Mus musculus: one gene and its partners. The protein of the gene in region 5 binds, or shares a complex with, the protein of the main gene of each other region. Links are inferred from orthologs where the notes say so. Each region holds a gene or a part of one and is shown on either strand. Other genes may lie near its edges. The genes, in order: Ripk3, Ripk1, Aim2, Zbp1, Casp8 and Mefv.

Evidence for each region.
Region 1: Casp8 (region 5) and Ripk3 share a complex: the UniProt entries of both Homo sapiens proteins name them as parts of the AIM2 PANoptosome complex. The link is inferred for Mus musculus from reciprocal best matches to the Homo sapiens genes CASP8 and RIPK3.
Region 2: Casp8 (region 5) and Ripk1 share a complex: the UniProt entries of both Homo sapiens proteins name them as parts of the AIM2 PANoptosome complex. The link is inferred for Mus musculus from reciprocal best matches to the Homo sapiens genes CASP8 and RIPK1.
Region 3: Casp8 (region 5) and Aim2 share a complex: the UniProt entries of both Homo sapiens proteins name them as parts of the AIM2 PANoptosome complex. The link is inferred for Mus musculus from reciprocal best matches to the Homo sapiens genes CASP8 and AIM2.
Region 4: Casp8 (region 5) and Zbp1 share a complex: the UniProt entries of both Homo sapiens proteins name them as parts of the AIM2 PANoptosome complex. The link is inferred for Mus musculus from reciprocal best matches to the Homo sapiens genes CASP8 and ZBP1.
Region 6: Casp8 (region 5) and Mefv share a complex: the UniProt entries of both Homo sapiens proteins name them as parts of the AIM2 PANoptosome complex. The link is inferred for Mus musculus from reciprocal best matches to the Homo sapiens genes CASP8 and MEFV.

What each region holds. Positions count from the first base shown.
Region 1 is NC_000080.6:55,786,058-55,790,078, reverse strand, and holds the start of Ripk3 (receptor-interacting serine/threonine-protein kinase 3), read left to right. Parts: upstream 1-1,221; 5' UTR 1,222-1,442; coding exon 1,443-1,462; intron 1,463-1,616; exon of another isoform or gene 1,617-1,697; coding exon 1,698-1,841; intron 1,842-1,945; coding exon 1,946-2,255; intron 2,256-2,639; coding exon 2,640-2,797; intron 2,798-2,918; coding exon 2,919-2,965; intron 2,966-3,062; exon of another isoform or gene 3,063-3,154; coding exon 3,155-3,322; exon of another isoform or gene 3,323-3,428; coding exon 3,429-3,496; intron 3,497-3,720; coding exon 3,721-4,021. UniProt on the Homo sapiens protein: Serine/threonine-protein kinase that activates necroptosis and apoptosis, two parallel forms of cell death. Necroptosis, a programmed cell death process in response to death-inducing TNF-alpha family members, is triggered by RIPK3 following activation by ZBP1.
Region 2 is NC_000079.6:34,015,863-34,019,362, forward strand, and holds part of Ripk1 (receptor-interacting serine/threonine-protein kinase 1), read left to right. Parts: intron 1-1,134; coding exon 1,135-1,284; intron 1,285-3,500. UniProt on the Homo sapiens protein: Serine-threonine kinase which is a key regulator of TNF-mediated apoptosis, necroptosis and inflammatory pathways.
Region 3 is NC_000067.6:173,458,604-173,462,103, reverse strand, and holds part of Aim2 (interferon-inducible protein AIM2), read right to left. Parts: intron 2,407-3,500; coding exon 2,255-2,406; exon of another isoform or gene 2,002-2,254; intron 198-2,001; coding exon 1-197. UniProt on the Homo sapiens protein: Sensor component of the AIM2 inflammasome, which mediates inflammasome activation in response to the presence of double-stranded DNA (dsDNA) in the cytosol, leading to subsequent pyroptosis.
Region 4 is NC_000068.7:173,216,123-173,220,333, reverse strand, and holds the start of Zbp1 (Z-DNA-binding protein 1), read left to right. Parts: upstream 1-1,411; 5' UTR 1,412-1,558; coding exon 1,559-1,592; intron 1,593-3,325; coding exon 3,326-3,562; intron 3,563-4,211.
Region 5 is NC_000067.6:58,794,196-58,798,173, forward strand, and holds the start of Casp8 (caspase-8), read left to right. Parts: upstream 1-1,178; 5' UTR 1,179-1,543; intron 1,544-3,978. UniProt on the Homo sapiens protein: Thiol protease that plays a key role in programmed cell death by acting as a molecular switch for apoptosis, necroptosis and pyroptosis, and is required to prevent tissue damage during embryonic development and adulthood.
Region 6 is NC_000082.6:3,715,325-3,719,392, reverse strand, and holds the start of Mefv (pyrin), read left to right. Parts: upstream 1-1,268; 5' UTR 1,269-1,330; coding exon 1,331-1,607; intron 1,608-3,264; coding exon 3,265-4,068. UniProt on the Homo sapiens protein: Involved in the regulation of innate immunity and the inflammatory response in response to IFNG/IFN-gamma.

The DNA of each region.
Region 1 (4,021 bases), on a different chromosome or scaffold from region 5:
CAGTGGCTCGATTGCAGGGCCAGCACACCTATCCTCATTACAACACCCTGGCATAGACCCTGGGCCTTCCAGCTCCACAACCCCTACTTAGTAGCTGCTCTTGCTGAGCAGGGATTCCAAGAGGTCCTTTAGTGCATACTGCGTGCCTCATACCTTACCTGCACCACAGGTAGATTTATATAGCCCAGAGGCATTGTCAAGAAGAATAAGCTAACTTGAGCTGGAGTGTGTGTGTGTGTGTGTGTGTGTGTGTGTGTGTGCCGCTTAGTAGGCAAAATTCTTGTCATGCAAGCATGAGGACCTGAACTCATATTCCCACAACTAAAGTGACATTGGGGACAGTAGCCCATGTATACCATGCCAGTGTTCCTACAGCAAGATGAGAGACAGGAGAATACTGGGACATTAACAGGCTAACACATAGCATTATGCACACAGCAGAGAACAAACTGACCCTATCTCAAACAAGGTCGAACACCTACACACACACACACACACACACACACACACACACACCATGACATGCACCCCTTCACCACATGCATGGTCATGCACACACATAAATAAATTTTAAGATAAATAAGAAAGCCAAGCATGGTGGCGTACACCTTTAATCCCAGCATTTAGTCAGGAGGCAGATGCAGATGGCTCTCTGTGAGTTTGAGTCAACCTGGTCTGTATACTCGAGTCCCAGATCAACCAGGGCTCCAAAAAGAGACCCTGTCTCAAAAGTAAGTAAGTAAGTAAGTAAGTAAGTAAGTAAGTAAATAAATAAATAAATAAATAAATAAAATAAGGGCTACCTTGGTGGAGCAGAACTCGGTTCTAAACTAGTCCCATACTTACTTGGCCAAGCGATTTAAACTTTAAGTACTTGGGTTTCCTCCTCTATAGAAAAGAAAACACGGTTGATCTAAGAAGCCAGTATGTGTACCTGGCCCAAGACAACCCTTACTAGAAGCGTTACTCCGTGATCTTAGGACCATAAAATCCTCCTGATCTCCATCCTCCCTTCATCAAAATGTGGTTGGCAAGCGGTGGAGCTAAGGGGTCCAAGAGAGACTGGCTATCGTGGGGAGTCAATCGTTCCTGGATGGTGAGGACACCTTTTGTGGCACGCCCAGTGCCTGGGCGCTTCTCGGGTGGAAGCAGTTTCAAGGCACGTGCACAGGAAATAGCCCCAAAGTTTTCAATGCTCCACCCCAGGGGGCGGAGATAGAAGGAGCCTCTTATTTGAAAGGGAAGTTGTGAAGTCGCTCATTCAAAGTCCGGGGGAGCGACCTGGGAAGCGGAATTCGGGGCCTGAACCTCCGTGCCTTGACCTACTGATTGTTCCCTTTGCAGACCCTGCCTTCCTCTCAGTCCACACTCCGAGCCGTAGACGTCGGGTTTCCAGCTCCGTCTGTGCACACATAACTCCAGGAAGCCGCTAGCTCCCGACGATGTCTTCTGTCAAGTTATGGTGAGTGGGGAGTGAGCTGTGTCTCCGGCACACCCACACAGGTGGCCCGGGGACACACTCAAAGGACGCCTTTTCTGAGGCAGGGGACAAAGCTGGGGGTGAGGCGGGCAGCAGTGGGGAGGCTAGACTCGCTGCCTACGCTGCCCACGCGCAGTCACGGAATCCCGGAGCTTGGGAGACAGAGGATGCGCTAGGCTGGGGGATGGGCCCCCTACCGGACAAGAACCTTTCTCAGGCCTACTGGTGCGTCAGCGGTTCCTCTGGTGAGCCGTGAAGAACTGAAGAAGCTGGAGTTTGTGGGTAAAGGAGGGTTCGGAGTCGTGTTCCGGGCACACCACAGAACATGGAACCATGATGTAGCAGTCAAGATCGTGAACTCGTGAGTGACCCCAGCTGTAGTCAGAGTGTGGTCACGAGCCTGAGTGGGGCAAGGGTGGGGTCTTCCAGAGCGCAATCCAATTTTGGCCCCCTTTCGGCGTGTAGGAAGAAGATATCCTGGGAGGTGAAGGCTATGGTTAATCTTCGTAATGAGAACGTTCTGCTCCTGCTGGGGGTCACTGAGGACCTCCAGTGGGACTTCGTGTCCGGGCAGGCTCTGGTGACAAGATTCATGGAGAATGGCTCCCTCGCAGGGCTGCTGCAACCCGAGTGCCCTCGGCCCTGGCCACTCCTCTGTCGCCTGCTGCAGGAAGTGGTGCTGGGGATGTGCTACCTACACAGCTTGAACCCTCCGCTCCTGCACCGGGACCTCAAGCCCTCTAACATTCTGCTGGATCCAGAGCTCCACGCCAAGGTTAGTCCATCTACAACCTAGTGTAGACTTGGGACCATGTTGAGTACCTGTCCCTCTGAATACAAGACTACACACATGACAAGACCCAACTAGGAGTTTTATTTCTAGTCATACCAGGTGACCCTCCTTACCAGACGCCCTTCTTAACCCCCTGGCTCAGTTCCACAGGCCTAATGCACCCTCACGGACCCAGGCTGACTTATCTCAGGCCTGCCCATCAGCAACTCAGATCTCCTGCTAAGTTCTCAATGACTTTACCTTCCCTCTGGTCCTCCATAACACCTTCCAAAAAGCTGAGGCTGCTGCATCTTCTGGGGAGCAAGAGAGGGAAAAATCTCTGACCCCCCCCTTCATCTAATACCTTCCCTTTCCTTTCCTTTACAGCTAGCAGATTTTGGCCTGTCCACGTTTCAGGGAGGGTCCCAGTCAGGGTCAGGATCAGGATCAGGATCCAGGGACTCTGGGGGCACCCTAGCGTACTTGGACCCAGAGCTGTTATTTGATGTCAACCTGAAGGCTTCTAAAGCGAGTGATGTCTACAGGTAAACCATCCACCCCAAACACACTCCAAATCTCTATACCAATTTGGGCCCTTCTAAAGGGAATGATACAGGAAAGAAGTCTCGCCAGAGGCCATCTAAGCCTCCATTTGTGTCTGTACAGCTTTGGGATCCTCGTGTGGGCAGTGCTGGCTGGCAGAGAAGCTGAGTGTAAGACTCCAAATGGAGTACCCGAAAGCACCTAAACCCCCCTGGAGCCCTCCCTTTTACCCTGACCCACTAACACACTGCCCTCTTCCCACCTCACCTCTCACTTGGATGACTCTCCCTGCTCCTGTCCGCGATAGAATGGGCTGTCCCCTCATTTCATGAATTCCTTATGTTATCCCCCAACTCCAGTGGTAGACAAGACTTCACTAATCCGGGAAACAGTGTGTGACAGGCAGAGTCGTCCTCCACTGACAGAGCTGCCTCCAGGTAGCCCTGAGACTCCCGGCTTGGAAAAACTGAAGGAGTTAATGATTCATTGCTGGGGTTCCCAGTCCGAAAACAGGCCATCCTTCCAGGGTGAGTTGGCCGTATCTCTGGCAACTAGGGTAGGCTTGGGTCTTCAGCAGGGAGCTCCTCCAAGGAAAGAAATCCGACTCATATACAACTCGCTGTTGTCTTTCAGACTGCGAACCAAAAACCAATGAAGTTTACAATCTGGTAAAGGACAAGGTAGATGCTGCTGTCTCCGAGGTGAGTTTCTAGCACTGCCTTCCCATCCAGGAACTGTTGGGAGATGGCACAAGTGGCTCCCTTAACCATTCAGTTTATCTTCACTGGCCACCATTATTTAATCCTTGGTTGTCATTCCCATTCACCAGAACCTACTCCTTAGTCTCCAGAGACCAAGAAAATTTTCACTGGGGTTTACTTTGGCTGCCCCAGCTCCTGACAACAAGGTCCCCCTGTCTGCACAGGTAAAGCATTATCTGTCTCAGCACAGAAGCAGCGGCAGAAACTTGTCTGCCAGAGAGCCAAGCCAAAGAGGCACAGAAATGGATTGCCCGAGGGAAACCATGGTTTCTAAAATGCTGGACCGCCTGCATTTGGAGGAACCCTCCGGACCAGTTCCTGGAAAATGTCCTGAGAGGCAAGCACAGGACACATCAGTTGGGCCTGCCACACCAGCAAGGACATCTTCTGACCCCGTGGCTGGCACTCCTCAGATTCCACATACTTTACCCTTCAGAGGCACAACACCTGGGCCAGTCTTTACTG
Region 2 (3,500 bases), on a different chromosome or scaffold from region 5:
TTGCTGATGTCTCTTAAACCTTAGTCTCTGACTATGATCAAGATATTCACAGACCTGTTAGACCCAGCAGATACACACACCCCACATAGATACCACATACATATAGACACACATACACAGAGAGAGAGAGGGGGAGAGAGAGAGAGAGAGAGAGAGAGTGCCTGAAATATATTAGGTACTCAGGAGACCTTTGTTGAATTAGTCATCCCAGTTTAGAATAAACTCATGGGGTAAGTAGACTACTTTATAGTATAGCTTAGCTTGGGAGTTGCTATAAAACTCCACTATTCTTCTAGAGTAGGAACTTACTACCAGGCATACACCCCATACCTTGATTCTATTTGTGAATGAGCCTTTTTCATTATCTACTGTGGACAGTTCAGTCAGCTGGGAATGGAAAGGTAACTAAATCATTGTTTGTACAGGGGAAAAGTCATCCTTCGGTTTGGTTAAGTGTGGAAAGGAAGGACTACTTTCTGTGACTTCTTCGTGATTACTAACCCCAGTAGATCAGGGATCACCATCTCTTTGCTGATATCTCTTAAACCTTAGTCTCTGACCATGACCAAGATATCGACAGACCTGTTAGACCCAGCATTTATACCACAAGCACCTCCAAAGTAGCATCCCCCAAACAAGTTGCCAAGTTTATGAGCACAGTACAGGTTGCTTACCACCTGCACTGAGTGGCACAATAAGCAACTTTAACTGTTCTCATCATGATTGTTTTTACCAGAACCCATCATTCTTACTTCTAGAGTATTAGTTAGCATGTATATTTCAAGTCACTCTCCTTAAACTGAGCTTCTTAAAGCTCAGACCATCCTGTATTTGCCTCTGTATTGAACTCGGGAGAATGCCATGACTTTACCCGTTTGTTTGTTCTGTGAAAAGGTAGCTTTGTTTTGAATTTTGTTTCTCTTCTGCAAAATCAAAACATCATCCTACCATTTCTGTAGTAGTCTGCATCAATTCCTTGCCACAAGACTGTTACTTTATGGAATGAGACAGCCATGGAAAAATCATATCCTAGATAGAGAGACAAAAGAGCAGTATTATCCAGGTCCTGGCATCTTCCTGCTTGAGAGTAAAGTGTAACTGAAAGCCCCAACTGAAGTTCACCCCTCTTTGCAGATGTCATCTGTACTGAGCAGTTCGTGATCTGCATAAAATCTGGGAACAGGCCAAATGTAGAGGAAATCCTTGAGTACTGTCCAAGGGAGATCATCAGCCTCATGGAGCGGTGCTGGCAGGCGATCCCAGAAGACAGGCCAACATTTCTTGGTAAGAATGGGTTGCGTGCCTATTTAGGATGCATCTAACATAGTGACTCTCTTCAGTAAGGTGACACTGGTAATTTAGTTACTTTTCCTATTGCTATGACAAAATAGACGACAAAGCAACTCAAAGAAAAGGTTTATTTTGGCTCAGTTTAAGGGTAAAGTCTACCATGGCAGGACGCCACAGTAGCTACAATACAAGGCAGTTGCCCACATTGCATCTAGAGCCAGGAAGGAGACAGACATAGATGCTGGCAGTCATTTGCTCTCTTGTATTCAGTGCAAGGTCTCAGCCCATGGGATAATGCTGCGCACATTCAGGGTGAGCTTTCCCTGCTTCACACCCCCACAGGCACACCCAGAACTGTGTTCCCTAGTGTCACCCAGAAGTGCGACCGTAAATCCAATCAAGTTGGTAAGGAAAATCAGCCATCACAGTTAGAAACATATGTTGAATACCACATCACATGTAGCTTCAAACTGACTAGATAGATATCAAGCACCTTGTCAATGAAAAGGTCCTACCCGTCCCCAAAGCATGGGCTTCTTCATTTCCTCCTTTAGTTTCGGGGGATTAGCACTGTTATTGTTTTGGGTTTTGTTTTGTTTTGTTGTTTTGTTTTGTTCTTTTCGAGACAGGGTTTCTCTGTGTAGCCTTGGCTGTCCTGGAACTCACTCTGTAGACCAGGCTGGCCTTGAACTCAGAAATCCGCCTGCCTCTGCCTCCCGAGTGCTGGGATTAAAGGTGTGCACTACCCGGCTACTGTTACTGTTTTGAAGCACATATAATGCTTTCCATTTTAGCTCTTGTAAGTATACTGTCCAGTGGTGTGAAATCCATTCTGCTTTTTCAACATTTACCACAATTTATTTCCAAGTTTCCTCAGCCAGAGCACAGCTCTGTACTCGGGAAGCATTAGCTCTGCGTCCCCTTTCCTCTCTTCTCTTCCCAGCCTTAGCAGTCACCATTCTGTTGACTTTGACTTCCCCAAGTGTCTCATGTAAGCCAAAATTGCACAATACTTCTGTTTTGTATCTGTCTTGTTTTACAGACTAAGTCTTTAAGGTTCATCCATGTGGTAGTATGTGTCCGAATTTCCTTTTTATTGCAGAATAAGATTCTACTCTATAGATAGTTTTTGTGTGAGTGTTCATCTGTTGATAAACACTTGCCCTAACCATTTCTAGCTTCTTTCACTTATTTGCCTCCCTAGTTAACATTCTTATTAGTATCCTTAGGAATGAATTCTGCCATTTAGGTTAGCCCTGTAGTTGAGGAAATTGAAGGAGACATGAGCGTTTGGCCCGTTCTGCACCCATCCTATCCCCTAGATTACCTAGGAGTATGAAGTAGGCCAAAGGAGAAGAGCAGAGATACAATAGGAGGCATTCAGGAATGTACAAAGCATCATGTTGTTGTATTTATGTGAGAAAAGAGAACTGGAGTGCCACCCATTCCCACTGTATAGACCAAGCTGACCTCAAATTTACAGAAATCCCCTGCCTCTGCCATCTGGTTGCTGTGATTAAAGGTATGCCACCATGCATAGCTAAAGCCCCATCTGTTACAAGTCCCACAACTCCTGACCGTGTTGCTGGCTGAGGACCAGGTCATACACTGAAGGTTGTTCAAAATTCAAACTGTAGCATTTTCTTGTAGGTTCTTAAACTTGTTCTAGAGTTTTAGTTTGATTCATCTGTGGTGTTTTTTTCTTGCATGGTTTTCAAGGACATTCTAGGCATGATATTATCCATATGTTATTTGATCATATGGTTTAATTTTCCAGTTTGCCATTTTATCACCCTGAGTTAAGTATGTAAACCTTTCCTTTCTCCTTATGCATTTCTCATTTATACATGTGGAATGCATCAGACTATGTTGCAGCTTTCCTTCAGTCTTCATAAACTCTAAAAGAAAGTTTTTTGCTTTTATTTACCCATTGTTTTGATTGTCATGCGTCATTTTTCCGATGCTACATATATTTACACTTCTAACACTATGCAGGCTATCATGACATTCCACATTTAAGAGCTTAGTCTCATGTGACTATCACCACATGGTACCCACTTAGGATGCCTAGGCTTCTGCCCAGCTGACTATGAGTTTGGGTGTATATTCCCCATCTCAGGCTTAGAATAGACTCATCTGGCTCAAAAAATATTGCACTTAAATATAACTCAATGTTATAAAACATTAAATTCAGAAACAACCAGATAGAA
Region 3 (3,500 bases), about 110 Mb from region 5:
TTAAACTGTGCGTTTAAAACTTTTACAAAGAAAAAATCTGTCTCCGTGGCCACTGTTGCATGAAATATCTCTTGTCTTCCTTCCTGAGTCTCACACTCAAAGGGATTTATAGCTTTCAGCACCGTGACAACAAGTGGATCTTTCTGTAAATCTTCTCTGATGGCTTCCTGTTCTGCCACCATCTGTTTCTTCTGAGGCTGTGACAAGAGAGAAAAGATGTTAGCTAGGGTCCACACTTACCCAAGCAGCCTTCATTCACAGTAAAACCCCAGGAAGAAAGAAGCTGAATTGAAGGGAAAATGGAGATAACGTTAGGAAGAGATTGGAGACCTAAAATTATCTAAGGGATATTTTGTGTTCTATGTTCAGACGGGGCAGTTTTACTGACTCTGGAGACAAAATTCCTGAATCAGAATCCTTCTTTGCTATGAAAAGTGTGTGTCAGAATCCTGAAACACTGCAAGGGGCTGAATCTGACTCTGTCTTCTTGTAATTCTACTACAGCATATTTTCCCCTCCAACTCTGAGCATGTAATTGACTCTTGCATCAGAGTGAGGAAGCTCAGTGATGTGCGCAGAGCTCCTGCACATTCCCAGGAATATTCCTGTGCATAATAGAAATGCAGATCATTCAATGTGAGGAAAGGAAGAGATCTCGGGATGAGATCCTACAGATGAATTAAAAGGAGATTAAAAATTAGAGTCAACTCTACCTTGGTAAGATTACTCTTAGAAGAATGAATTATTCTTGGAATGAATAAATTCTCATCTTGCCATTTTGTTCTTCCAGATTAAGAAATTAAGAGCAATAGGAGATAGTGTGTCTGTGTACAGGAATGTGCATGTATGTGTGTTTGCCCACGCATGTGTATGTTTTAGAAGCATATATATTAAGGCTTACATAAATTACATCTTATTATTTATAGTTATAAATCATCAAAATCTTTTAAATACCAAAAAATGGATTTTGTCAAATAAGGTCTTATAATACAACATATAAAAATTAAATGTTTTATAGGAATAATATAACAAACTATTTTAATTGATTTAACAAAGGATAAAGTATAATGCATTCCTTATTGGATAAATGCACAAATAACCCACATAACCTGGGATTAGTTTTTTGTTTAGTTTTGTTTTGTTTATTTTGTTCTTCCAAATTAAGAAATTAAAAATAATAAGAGACTGTTCATGTGCGCATTTCTGTATGTGACTGTGTGTTTGTTCATGCATGTGTATGTATCAGAAACAATACTATTTTAAAAGCAATTAACAATCCATAACTAAAGGAGACCCTGAGAGAAAGAGAGAGGCACAGAGCACATGCTTTGAACTGGATCTCTGCAAAACCTTGGGATGTGAGCCTGTGAGCTGATTTGATGAACGGCATCCCACTCTCAATTTGATCCAAAGCAGGAAAGTATCAAGTTCACTGAGAACTATTTTAGAATTTGTCTTCAGTCCTAGGCATTTTACTGGATTTTTCAGAGACTATACAATATGCATTTTTATGGGTGCTTACCAAAATGTAACATTTAAACTTGGGTATTGTTTTCTTCACAATTCTGGACATTTCTGAGCCAAACACAGAAGAAATGAGTGGGTGCTCTGGATAGAATGGTGTGCACAGCCTAAGCTTCTCTATGAAGTTTCATGACACTTTCTTTACAGAAAATGAAATTGCAGATGCTTGGTGGATTTTGTGATGGATCCCTATATGCTGCTCTGTCAGGACTAAGGGACAAGGACTCTCTTCCAGTTTTATCCCCTCTGCTACAAAGAGTCATTTCATGACAATAAGAGCAGGCACATCGTGACTAAAGGGACTGTGTTTTCCAACTACGTTGCAACAATCCTGAAGGGCATCCCTGGACCCTAAGTCTCCTGTGGAACAGGTCAAATTCTTTGCTGCAGTTCCATTGAACTAGAAACTTTCCCCATCCCCTCATCCTAAACCTCCTCACAAGAACTGATGCTGAGAGCAACCTGAAACATACTCACTGAAAAAGGTCCCTGTCAGAGTTTTCGTCAAAGAGAGGTTAACATAGCAACAGGTTATCATGTCCAGAGCATGGCAGAAATTAGAAGCTTCCTGGGCATGGACGCTGATGAATAGAAGTGATTTTTCTTTTTGTAATGCAGACATATCTCTCCTATCGTAGCCCGGTTTTCCTGATTTGTATGCTCAGAGATAAAGAACAGAAGGCTTCGAGTGCTGGAGGAGAGGGATAGTGATAAGAGTGTCACTAGCCACCTTAGCTTGAGGACAGACTTCTGTAGCAGCCTGTTCCTTAAAGTCATTGTCACTGCGGGTGGCAGAGGCAGCAGAGCAGTTTTCAGCTTGACTTCTATTTTCTACCTTCTGTGTTCCTCTCTTCTTTGTATTGGTCATGAGTTTACGTTCAGCTGAAGGAGAAAAAAAAAGGAGGAGGGTGAGAAGAAGAAAAGGAGAAGGTGAAGGGGAAGGGGAAGAAACAAGTAACAGATACATTAAAATCTATGAGTAAGCATGGCTGAGAATTAGAATTCTCGTTAGAATTCTAATGTTAATTAAAATATCATTAAAATATCGTTAATTTTTAAGAAGAAAATTAGAAGGGAGACAACAGCAGGGTGATAGATTAGGAGTTTCCCATCTTCAGGTCCTCACAAGAACATGACACAGGACTATGCACAGACAAGGCACCTTGGGGAAATCTCAGAAGGTAACAGAGGTGCCATCTAGAACATTAAGGCTGAGAAAAGTTCCTCTAGAGGTAGAGAGGAATGTTTTCATTTTAACTGTTTTCTCCTTCCCAAAATGGGAAAGTACCATGTAGAGAGAAGCCCACAGCCCTACACCTCCTAAGGTGAGGATTAAGGACAAGGAGTGTGCATGTGGCACTCCGGTAGTATGCAGGCATTGTAGAAGGCTCACTCTCATCTCATCCCACCCCATGAGAACTGTTGAGTACATTGGCAAGACTAGAATAATGGAAGTCAGTTAGAAATAAACAAAATAAAATGGGTCTTCCTGTGACTGATATGTGGTCTGCCTTGTGGAGTCACCCAATCAAAGAGAACATCCAATAGCATCTTTGCTAGCTTTGAATCATAGCCAACTTTCCACTTGTCTTACTACACTGTAAAAGGCATACACATACGCACATGTGTGGAGCACAGAATCCGAATCTGCCTGAACTCCACTGTGGAATGCTGACCCCACCCAACCTGAGAGCAATGTATCAGGCTTCCTGAAGATTATAGGTAATTTCATGCACACAGATGTCTTTGAAAGGAATCATCTGACCTAACCCAGCCACAGCCTATTGAGAAAATCACCCTACTCAGCCCCAGTGTTTGAAAAAAAATAAAAAGGCTTCTTGTTAAAGGCAATTGTGTCCGATATTTCTTTGGAGTAGAGGACCTGGTCTCCTCAAGCCTGGTGACCAAGAAGTGATGGGACTGGGATGAGTTTTGAGCTTAGCCTGTGGTTCAGCATGAGCCCAAACTGGGGGGAA
Region 4 (4,211 bases), on a different chromosome or scaffold from region 5:
AAATAAATAAATAAATCTTTTGTTTTTTAACATTTCTTTATTATGTGTAGAGTACTCTGGAGGAGTCAAGTGGCATTTTCACAGGGGCTACCTAAGACCATTAGAAAGCACAGATCTTTACATTATGTTTCATAACAATAGCAAAATTATGGTTACAAAGTGTTGATGAAAATCATTTCTATGGTGGGGATCACAACGACGTGCAGAGTTAGGATGGTTGAGAGTCACTGACCTAGGAGGCTCTGACTCCTTCCAGGCAGGTCAGCTAATGTAAGGAAGGGAAGGGAAGGGAAGGGAAGGGAAGGGAAGGGAAGGGAAGGGAAGGGAAGGGAAGGGAAGGGAAGAGGAAAATGCTGAAGAAAGGAGTGAGGAGGGCATGTCCTGAAGCCCTGCTAAGTCTGGAGCCACCTTGGTTAGGGACCAAGCAAGACCCCCTGGGCAAGAGGCGGTTGGTGAGCATGCGCCACCTAGTGGTCAGTTTTCAAATGGCGCCTCTAGGGAACCTGGGCAGTGTCCCTCAATGGGGCCAGCTGAGAGTTCATTTAAAAGCGACTTTATTTATTTTGGGTGGCAACAGGCAGTGCGGTTTCTGTTTTCCTTGGCTGGCTCTGCAGGCACTGTTTTTCCTCCCTGGAAGTCATAAAAAAATCACTTGGAAATGTTAATATTTTCCCATGCACAGGCCCATCCTAAGCTGTGTAGACCTGGCCTGGTCTTGGTCCCTTGGTGACCCTTTCAGGTTCTGTAAGGTGAAGCTGACTGGGGACCTGCCACCTCCTGCTTGCTTGGCAGACATCCTCCAGGCACATCACCTCCTTCTAGTCTCCAACGACTGCTGCTGTCTTGCCCTGTGCACCAGTGACCTGCACACCAGACAGGTACAGAGGTCCCAAGATCATGGCCTCTGCACTCACCCCACCTCCACCCTGTAGCCGGGACCCAGATTCTGGGATTATTGTGAGCTGAGTGGTGGACACAAGGCCATCTCTGTGAGCCCCGATCCCCTCTTACGTAATATGGAACAGAGAAGTGTCTGAGCTGTTCACGGGTCACTGAGAATTTATGAAAGTGAGAAAAGGGGCTCTTTTTCTAGAAGGTATGTGAGTAGATGGTACTACACCTGCCTGTGGGCATGTGGGGGAGGCACAGTAGGTGCCTTTTCCTAGATCTATCTTCCTCCTCACAGGGCTTTCACAGAGTTCTCTTCAGATAGAGCTCTCCCGGTGGGAGACCAGTCTCCACCCCAGAGGCCAAGACTCCTCTCTTCTCTGTCACACAGTCATCCAACTCCAGCTTGCTCACCCACCCCGATTTCAATTTCGATTTCGACACCCTTTCTTTCCGAGAACCACACCAAAGTTTCATTTTCTCTTTCTTTGAAAAGCTGGAGGGCGGGGAGGGGATGGAGCCAGATGGGTATTTGTTTCCGGGATGGTAACAGCTGGTGCCTGCAGGTCCAAGCAGCCATTCTTGCCTGTGGATTCAGAGCCCCAGGCCTGACCACAGTGCCAGAAACTGCCACCCCCTGCCCTAAAGGAGCCCCAAGGCTGCTGTGAGCATGGCAGAAGCTCCTGTTGACTTGAGCACAGGAGGTAAGCTAAACCTCTTCCTTCACCTCGCGTGGGTCCCAGCTGATGTTTCTAAGGCTCCTAGCTCTTTCCTTGGCCCAGACAGCAACAGGATTCTGAGGTCACCACAGGGAAGTCAGCTTGCTTCAAGGATCCTGTGCCCCAGATCCTTCATGTCACCTTACCTCATTGATGAGGTCACCAAGGCCTGTGACAGCCCTCGGGCTCCGAACTGTCATTTCAAGAGAGGACTTTGCTTTGATAAGGAGATGTGACTTTGATTTTACATTCAAGCTCTTCTCCTGCCCTATTTGAACCCTTGCTGAGACTACATACCCTGTCTAGGGGCTTCTGGGCTATGGGAGGCTGCGGGGTGCAGGGCTGTGTGAGGCTGCCATGCTGTGGGCAGGATTTAGTTCACTGCTTTTCTTCTTCATCTTTTGAAAAGCACTTCATTTTTGTTTTTTGTTTGTTTGCTTTTGTTTGGTTTGGTTTTTTCGAGACAGGGTTTTTCTGTGTAGCCCTGGCTGTCTTGGAACTCACTCTGTAGACTAGACTGGCCTCGAACTCAGAAATCCGCCTGCCTCTGCCTTCCAAGAGCTGGGATTAAAGGCGTGCGCCACCACGCCCAGCTGAAAATCATTTCTTATTTCAACATACTAGAAGTGGTTGCTCAAAAGCTATCAGGGAGGAGCCAAGCAAAGACCAGAACTAAGGTCACCTGGTTCCCATGGTTTCCTTTCACTGCTAACCTTTCCAGCCTGTCACCTGCAGCCTTCTGCTTTCCAAAGTCCCACTTTCAGACCCTGCAACCAGTCCTTCAAGTTCACCCTTTGGAGAAGGCTTGGCCTGCCTTGTGTGTCCCTAGGGGCCAGTGGGAGAAAGGAATGAAGGAGAGGCCACTACAGGGCACACTCCCCAGCAAAGGTTTTACAAGGCAAGGCAAAGCCAAGTCAGGAATAGATGCTCAGTGCTATAATCCTTCCCCCAACACCCTCCTCCTCCTCCACCCCCACCCCCAGCCCCACCCTGGGGTGGGGCTGTGGCTGAAGCAGGAGGATTGCTATGAGTTCCAGGCTAGCCTGAGCTAGACTTTGTCACAAGAGGAAAGAAAGAAAGGTAGAGGCAGACTCATGGATAAGCAGACAGACGTGCTGGAAGGGACATGAGGTGGAACTTGGGGATCCTCAGGGTTAGACACGGAGGAGGAGGCTGGGTAGCTAGCAGGGGTGGAGGGCTCTGGGAGGAAGCCTTCTGGAGTTGGCAGGCAGGCATCTGGAAGATGACATTGAGGCTGGGTTAAAGAGCTGAGCTGGGTTTTCAGGACTCCTGCTGTATCAGGCAAGGGAGGAGAGACCCATTTTTCTTATCTGCTGGGCTCCTGGGCTGGGAACACCCATGCCTTCGATGTGGGTGCTGAGCAGGAGAGAAAGGGACTCCTGGCCAGGCTGAGAGGCCATCAAGACACCAAATAGGGACTTCAGGGCTAGACTTGGTTTCCTGCCTCTCCCTTTTGTTCCATCGTCCGAGAGTTGGGGGTTCCTACCTGTTTGGGTTCCACATAGTACACAGGGCAGGCTGTATACTATTTTACCATTTGGCCACCCAGACATCTAGTTGTGGGGTGAGGGGCCACCTGACTGACACCCTTGCCTCTGGGTGGTGTCGTCGTTCCTGTCTGCTTGGCCCAGGTCACAGGTGCCTTCTCTGCTCTGGGGACTAGGCTTAACTCAGCTCTTCTCTGGGTTCCTCCCCAGACAATCTGGAGCAAAAGATCCTGCAGGTGTTGAGCGATGACGGCGGCCCTGTGAAGATTGGCCAGCTGGTGAAGAAATGCCAAGTGCCCAAGAAAACCCTCAATCAAGTCCTTTACCGCCTGAAGAAGGAGGACAGAGTGTCCTCCCCAGAGCCTGCAACATGGAGCATAGGCGGGGCTGCTTCTGGAGATGGGGCTCCTGCAATCCCTGAGAACTCCAGTGCCCAGCCTAGCCTTGGTAATCTGTCATGTAGGCAGAGCAGACCCCCCACACACACTAAGCTCTCCTCCCCCCTACACGCACATTAAGAGCCACGAGGCTTGGCTTCAAATCTGAGCTTGGCCATTCCCTCTCTGTCTCTTGATTTCTTCTGGCCAATGGAGCCAAATGTGAAGCTTAGGGCTTATACATAGTAGGTGTGCAATAGACATTAGCAGTAGTGAAGACACACTGCAGGCAATAGTTACACGGATAGTGAGGGCTGATGGGTAAGGATTCACTCAGAGCCTTCAGGTGACTTTGAGAGCCATCAAGAAGAAAGGACCCAGAGTTCCAAGAGCTGATGCGGTCCCCAGGGCCACCTTGCCTTCATTCAGCTCCAGATAGAGACAGGAAAGGAAGCAGCCTTGGGACCTCAACCTTCAGCAGACAGTATCTGTGACCCAAACAGACAGGAGGTCCTGGGTCCCAGCCTAATGTGCTGCCCCCAGCTCCCCTGAGAAATCATTCCCCATGTTTAGTGGAGCAGGGTGTCTCCCATCTCCAACGGACACATCCTTCTTCCAGACTCAAGACCCTAAAGAGATGTAGGTGCAACTTCAGGGGGCCCTGGTCTGCAGCTCAGTGCACCCCCATGGGCCTCTCCAGACCGCTGAAGCTCCACAGG
Region 5 (3,978 bases):
ATGAAATTTGCCAGCAAATGGATGGAACCAGAAAACAAAAACAAAAACAAAAACCTATCCTGAGTGGGGTAACTCAGACCCAGAAAGACAAGCATGGTACGTACTCACTTATAAGCAGACATTAGCTATAAATTACAAGATAATCATGCTACAATCCACAGACCCAGAGAGGCTAAGTAACAAGGAGCCATCTCCCTAGGAGGGAGAAATAGAGTAGGTATCATGGGATTGGAACTGGGGGCATGTGGGGATGGGAGCAGAGGGATCAGGTTGGGCGAGGATGGAGGGAGAGAGTATGGCAGAGAAGACTGGAATGTGGGGGCTAGAAACCTATCAGGGTGACCCTTGCTATGACTCCTAGTAATGAGGGGTTTGGAGCTGTCTGCTGTAGCCAGGCAAGCCTTCCAGTGGAGAGACTGGGACACCAACTCAGACCCCAAACCTCTGACCTACCATTTATCCTGCCTGCAGGATGTGCTGGAGAAAAGATGGCACAGAACTTGTGGGAGTCTCCATCCAATTACTAGTCTCTCTTGAGACTTGTGCCACAAGAGGGAGGCCACCTCTGACACTGAATTCATGGAGGTCAGGAACAAGAGGCTGGATGCCCCAGACAGCTAAGATAGAACTGAACATGACCAAAAAAAAAAAAAAAAAAAAAAAAAAGCATGAAATGTTTTCTAATCATATTCTGCCATACTTGTAGACAGAAATCTAACATAGTCGCCATCAGAGAGGCCTACAGCCACACAATAGGCAGAGCTTGGGGAATCCTACAGGATATGGGGAGGAAGGATTGTAGGAATCAGAGCTCAAGGGCACCACAAGAAAACTCACAGAATCAACTAACCTGGCCTCATAGGCACTCACAGAGACTGAACCAACAATCAGCGATCCTGATGGATCTGACCTAGGCCCTCAGCATAGCTGGTTGTTTGGTTCAGTGTGAAATCACTTTCTTCTTGTAGTTGGCTCCTTTAAACTTTGTGTGTGTGTGTGTGTGTGTGTGTGTGTGTGTGTGTGTGTGTGTTCGTTCGTTCATTCCATTAGCTCTGGTTCCACTGTCTCTGGGATAGCCTGGAACTTGCTTGTTCTAATCTTCCTGTCCCTACCTCCGAGAGTGCTGACATTTCTAGAGCAGAGGGTTTCTGCGTGAAAGGAGGTGTGGTTGGACTGGGGGAATAAGGAAGTGTCCTCCAGAACTGGCGGGAGCTCTTAAGGCGGGCAGAAAGCGAAGCAGCCTATGGCCTCTAGGGCTGGCACCAGGATGCCACCTCTAATGATTAACTCAAACGCCTCTAAACATTCGGAGGCATTTCTGTCCCCTATGCCCTAGTTCTCTCAGTTGTCTTTCATTCTGACTTCGGTGCTTAAAAGTCCAGCTTCTCGGAATCGGTAGCAAACCTCTGTGAGCCGGCGTGGAACAGGAAGTGAGTACAGTTCTGGGGAGCGCCGGCCCGGGCTGGAGGCTCGGAAAGCCCAAGCCAGCGGAGGCCTCGCCCGAGCTGGAGTTGTGACCGGCGCGGCAGGTACTCGGCCACAGGTGAGTGCTGCAGAGCAGTCGGGTTCCTTTCCCACCAGCGGGCCGAGATCCCACCGGTGGGTGTCGATCTCGCGTGGCGCTCCCCGAAATGCAGCCATCGGGGTGCCGTCGCCGCCTCTCCAGAAAACTTTATTGGACTTCTTAGGCTTACTTTCTTTGTAGTTTGGCTCAGGACCTGGAGCTGAGTTAATCCTCCGGGGAGTCCTCTAGCTTGAGCTGCGTTTCCTCCGGCGATTTTCGTGCTCTTCCCAACTCAGACGTCCATCAACTCTAATCCCAAATTCTCTCTTCCTTTCTCCTTCTCCTCCAACATCTCCCCTCCCTTTTTCTCTCCCTCTTCTTCTCTTTGCCTTCTCCTCTCCCTCCCTCTCCTCTTCCTCTCTCCCTCCCTCCCTCTGTCCCTCTTTGGTTTCATGATTTCCTGCAGAAGCTCAGGCTTCTTGAACTTACGACCTTGCTTCCACCTCCTGAGTGCTGGCAGTACAGGGGGTGGGGGGTCGTAGGGCACTAGCTCTGCACTTAAAACACCAACCCCCCACCCCCTCACCCCAACCCCCACAGAGAGGGGATGAGAGAGGAGGGAGGGAGGGGGCTACAGGTGACCTGAGGCCGGTAATTCCTCTACGTGCTAAGCAGTTGTAAGGGTGACTGGCTTGTTAAGTACCTGTAAGGAATTATCATACAGTCATATTTCTGTTTCTTCTTTCTTTCTTTCTTTCTTTCTTTCTTTCTTTCTTTCTTTCTTTCTTTCTTTCTTTCTTTCTTTCTCTCTCTCTCTCTCTCTCTCTCTCTCTCTCTCTTTCTTTCTCTTTCTTTCTTTCCTTCCTTCCTTCCTTTCTTTTCTTTTCTTTTCTTTTCTTTTCTTTTCTTTTTTCTTTCTTTTTTTTCTTTTTCTTTTTTGTCTTTTTAAAGGGAGTCCTCTAAGTGCCTTCTGCTTGGCTAGGTCTCAGTTTCATTCTTTAAAAAATTATTTATTTCTATTTTAATTTCATGAGTATGAGTATTTTGCCTGCATGTATGTATGTGCACCTGGTACTGGGCGGGGGGGGGGGGGGTGGCGGCACAGATTCCTTGAACTGGATTTACAGACAGTTTCAGCCATTATATGGGTGCTGGAAACTGAACCCAGGTGGTCTGCAAGAGCATTGAGTGCTCTTAAACTCCTGAGTTGTCTCATCGACAAATCTTTCTTTTTTTAAATAAATATGGCATTGATTGAATTAGCATGAGGACGATTAGTGCTCCCGTTTCTTACAAACCTATTTAAAGAAGACTCAAGAACTCGTATGTGGACACAGAGGAGTTGCTGGTCATGGCTGTGTGTCTCCCATGTCTCTTTCCCAGGAGGGAGAAAGGTGACCCCATAGCAGGCCATTTAGCTGTTATTTGATTTTGCCCAGTAATTTCTGTTTGTGGGTAGGTTCACTCCAGGAACTAATATGATTTCTCCAGCAGCCTGCATAGCCTGACCACCTCACCCTATCAGGTTGCTCTTTTTTCTTTTTCTTTTCTTTTCTTTCTTTCTTTTTTTTTAATCTTCCAACTTAAAAGAAATTCTAATAAGAAAGTGGGCATCTTCTTGCTTTATTTGACATTCCTCGGATTTACTGACCCATGTGATGTGTCATCCTATGCTCTCATGGGCTTAGTGCCTATAGGGGAGCTCCATGTGTTTTTTCCAGCAAGACCACACCCCCATTGCCCCTGTACAGAGGTTCATTGCCTCTTTACACAGTATCTTCTCATTGATGATTTTCAGGCTGTTGTTATGTGGTTCAAGTATTACCATGAGAGCTTCAGTTGCTGCACTCACAGGAAGTTCGTGGTCTCTGACAGGAAATTCTCAGAAAACAGTGAGCCAGAACTGGGGTAGAGGTTATAGAGGATGCTGGGAAAACTATAGTAACTCCTGGAGTGGACTGGGCCACAGACAGGATTTGATTTTGCTGCTTCCATGGTGCCCAGGTTCCTGGGCAGAATCAAATGCCAGCTAAAGGTCCTGGTACGATGGTGTCACCTTTGCCCAGACATCGAGGGTGGACATATGCTTTTGGGCGCCTCATTCAGTTCCCTCAGCTGTGAAGTTGGCGCTCTTTACTCTGAAAGTTTACATTCTATTTTAGGTAGCAGAAAACACAGTTTCAAAGTCCTTTTCTTTTTCTTCTCTTTAACACCAGAAAATATTTTAACTAATTCCCAGCAAGGAGCTTATGTGTTTGTACACAGGTTTGCTCACACAATGAAGGACCCAGGGTTTGCCTCTTTGGGGAGTTTGCTGTAGGAAAGCCCTGATTTTGACTTTAGGCTTATTTTTTGTTTGTTTGTTTGTTTGGTTGGTTGGTTGGTTGGTTTTTTTTGTTTTTTTGTTTGTTTGTTTGTTTGTTTTGTTTTGTTTTGTTCTGTTTTAGCTGTAAGTAGAAACTATCGAACTAGGA
Region 6 (4,068 bases), on a different chromosome or scaffold from region 5:
TTTCTGTTGTCGTGATCCATACCAAAAGCAATTTGGGAAGGAAAGGGTTTGTTTCATCTTCCAGGTTACAATGCATGGTCAAAGGAAGCCAAGACAGGAAATAAAGCAAGAGCTTGAGGCAGAAATGCTGGAGGAGCAGTGATTGGCTTGCTCTTAGGCTCACATTCTCTCTCTCTCTCTCTCTCTCTCTCTCTCTCTCTCTCTCTCTCTCTCTCTCTCTCTCTCTCTCTCTCTTTTGCTGTTCTGAAACTCACTTTGTGGACCAGGCTGCCCTCCAACTCACAGAAATCCACCTGCCTCTGTCTCTCAAGTGCTGGTTGTAAAGGTGTGTGCCTCCAGCACCACCTGGATTCAGTCACATTTATTGTACATGCCAAAGTCACCTGCTTAGGATGGTATCACCCCCAGTGGGCTTGGCACTCCTCTATTGGATATCAATCAGGAAAAAGCCCCACATACATGCCTACAGGCCATTCTGATGGAGGCATTTTTTCAATTGAGGTTCCCTCTTCCCAAGCATGTCAGATTGACAATCAATGTCAGCCTTCACAGATATCTAGGGTATTTAGAATGATAGATAATAATGCTTTTTATTTATTCTCCAATGGTTAAGACAAAAGTAAAGGAGGCCACAGAAAATTTAACCCAGAAGCAGTTAGTGGACCTAGGAAGCCAGGGCCAAGTTGGCTGTGGGAATAGATGCATGAGAATGCTGGCAACAAAGGTGGTCCGCAGGTCCCGTGTGAACACTTTACGTTGCTGGATAGACTAGACATGGACCAGACAGACTGGACATGCATTGCAGTACCTTTCTGGCTTCTGCTTTCTTGAGAAGGCCCAGGCAAAGCCTATAGGGATTATTTGCTGTTTGTTCCTTCCCCTGCCATTGGCCCTGGAGGTCTATAAACCTCAAGAGTCCAAAGAGAGCAGTTGGCCAGAGGGGACCAACTCCACGTAAGATCATCTCCCTCTTCCACAGCCTAGGGTCCTGAGAGCAAGCAAGAGCTCAGGAGCAGCTGGAAGGTCTGGCTGTCAATCCCAGAGCTACCCTTAGAGTCTGGCCTGCCTGTTGTTTAATCAGGACATAGGCTGGCAAGGTGGAGACCTCCCCACTGGAAAAGACTCTGAATCCTCAAAGAAAGTATGCAGCAGGCTAGACCCTGGACACGCCCTCATTTTTACTCTCAGTTCCCACCAAAGCTGATGTGCTTCCTGCGCCTTGTCCGTTATTTCACAAGCTATTTCTTGCTTGTTCTCAAGTTGCACGAGAGAGGTCATTATCGTTTGCCAGAAGCCACATAGCTGGCTGCAGTCCCTCCTGGCCCGCACCATGGCCAAGACCCTTGGTGATCATCTGCTAAACACCCTGGAGGAGCTGCTGCCCTATGACTTTGAGAAGTTCAAGTTTAAGCTACAGAACACCAGCCTGGAGAAGGGCCACTCTAAGATCCCCCGGGGCCATATGCAGATGGCCAGGCCAGTAAAGCTGGCCAGCCTTCTGATAACCTACTACGGGGAGGAGTATGCTGTAAGGCTGACCCTGCAGATCCTGCGGGCCACCAACCAGCGCCAACTAGCAGAGGAGCTTCGCAAAGCCACAGGCACAGGTAAGTTGCCAAGCCTCTTCCCAGTGGGGATGGATGCTAGCTACTGGTGGTGGATGAGAGGAATGCTCAGACACTAGCTAAGGGTTAGAAAGCCCCTGTCCACTTCAGTCCGAGTAGTGTGAATCTAGCATGCCTCATCCTTCTCTCTGGCCCTTGTAACCTGTTTAGTGAAGCTCCCAGGCTCCCCCCCCACCCCCCAAGACATTAATAATAAAAACTGATATTTCAGCTGTGGGTGAGACTCAGGACAGGTGGATCATGAATGGAGCAAAACCTAGAGAAGTCTTTACTCCATGTTTTCAAGTAATAAGCAAGCCCAGACTATCATCAGGTTAGCAGAAAAGGCTTGAAATTCAACCATACTCACATGTCTGAGAATCTCATTAACCACCCAATTTCAATTGGAGTTCTTCCTTGGGATACTTTACAAGGGTATTTAAACATTCTTTGCTTTTAATGAAAGGTTTCTTCAAATGAAAACCTAAGTTGTTAATCATGGGTTATCTTCATTATGTAGACTTTGAAATTAAACCTTATCTGTCAATATCCTGAAATTGCAGGCAAGTTTGCTTGCTGTTTTTGTTTTTGTTATTTTTTTGGCTTTGATTTCTAGACAGGGCCTCACTATATAGACTACACTTGCTTCAAACTCTAGAGATGCTCCTGCCTCTGTGTCTGAGGTTAGAAACTACACCACCATACCTGTTCCAACGAGTTTCCTTTCTTTTTAAAAATTAATTAATTCATTTAAAGATTTATTTATTTATTTTATGTATATGAGTACAGCATTGCTCTCTTCAGACACACCAGAAGACGGCATCAGATCTCATTACAGATGGTTGTGGGTCACCAACCATGTGGTTGCTGAGAATTGAACTCAGCACCTCTGGAAGAGCAGTCAGTGCTCCATCTCTCCAGTTCCCTCAACTTGTTTTCAAACACCATCTACGTTTACATTTATGACTTGAGGTTTTCTTCAGTTTGTGCCATGATTGAAAATGATTCATTTCTATATGTTCCTTTTTAAATTAAATTTATGTGTGTGGGTGTTTTGTCTGGATATGTGTGTGTACCACTTGCAATCTTGATGTCCACAAAAGCCAGAAGAGGGAATCAGATTCCCTGGATTTGGAGTTACAGATGGTTGTGAGCTACTGTGTGGATTCTGGGAACTGAATCTGGGGGCTGTAGAAGAGCACCCCAATGCTTTGAACTGCTGAGCCACCTCTCTGTCTCTCCAGGCTCCTATTTTAATTTTACTTTGCTTATGTATTTTGTGTCTGTCTGCATATGTAAGTGAGTGTTAGTGTGCTCTGGCATAAAGGTCAGAGGACAACTTGAAGGAATTGATTCGTTCCTCTGTGGTTCTGGAGGCTGAGCTTGTTGGCAAGTGCCTTTACTTACTGAGCTGGTTGCTTTCATCCCTTCCTATTTGCTTTGCTTTATAAGTCAAATGTCACAGGTACAGTCATGCATGCATCTATAACAGTAACCCAGTTTTTATTTACTATGTATTTTATGGTTCTGTGTAATGGACATCTGTTGTCTAGAATGTTCAGTTCTTTGCTTTTATTAACTTCTAAGGAGTTTCTCCCTTCCTCCAACCCCAGCCTTGAATATAGCACAGCTTCATGACTGTATCTTATTGTCTTTCTAGAACATTTAATTGAAGAAAATAGAGTTGGTGGTTCTGTCCAGTCTTCTGTAGAGAATAAAGCCAAGAGTGTGAAGGTACCAGATGTCCCTGAAGGTGATGGGACACAGCAAAACAATGATGAATCAGACACCCTTCCATCCAGCCAGGCTGAAGTGGGGAAGGGACCCCAGAAGAAGTCACTGACCAAAAGGAAGGATCAGAGGGGCCCCGAGAGCCTGGACTCACAGACCAAGCCATGGACAAGGAGCACAGCGCCTCTCTATAGGAGAACCCAGGGCACCCAGTCCCCAGGGGATAAGGAGAGCACAGCAAGTGCCCAGCTCCGCAGGAATGTCAGCTCTGCAGGGAGGCTTCAAGGACTTTACAACAATGCCCCAGGGAGGAGAGAAAGCAAGAAAGCCGAAGTGTATGTATATTTGCCTTCAGGAAAGAAGCGACCCAGGAGTCTTGAAATTACCACTTATTCAAGAGAAGGAGAACCCCCAAATTCAGAAGTTCTTCCAACTCAAGAGGAAACAAGAAATGGGAGTCTCATTCGCATGAGAACAGCTACTCTGAATGGAAGGACTACGGGGGCTTTAGAAAAGGGCACAGGGATTCCAGAGCATTCCATGGTGCTGGATGAAAAAACATTCAGAAACATGTCTTCCAAAACATCGTTGATTGGGGAGGAGAGATGCCCTACATCATGGACGGAAAATGGAAATGGGAGTCCAGAAACCACAGAGTCCTCGGGAGAGACGGCTGGCAGCATACTCTCTGATCCAGAAGTGCCTTTGTCACTATGTGAAAAACCAGCTAAAA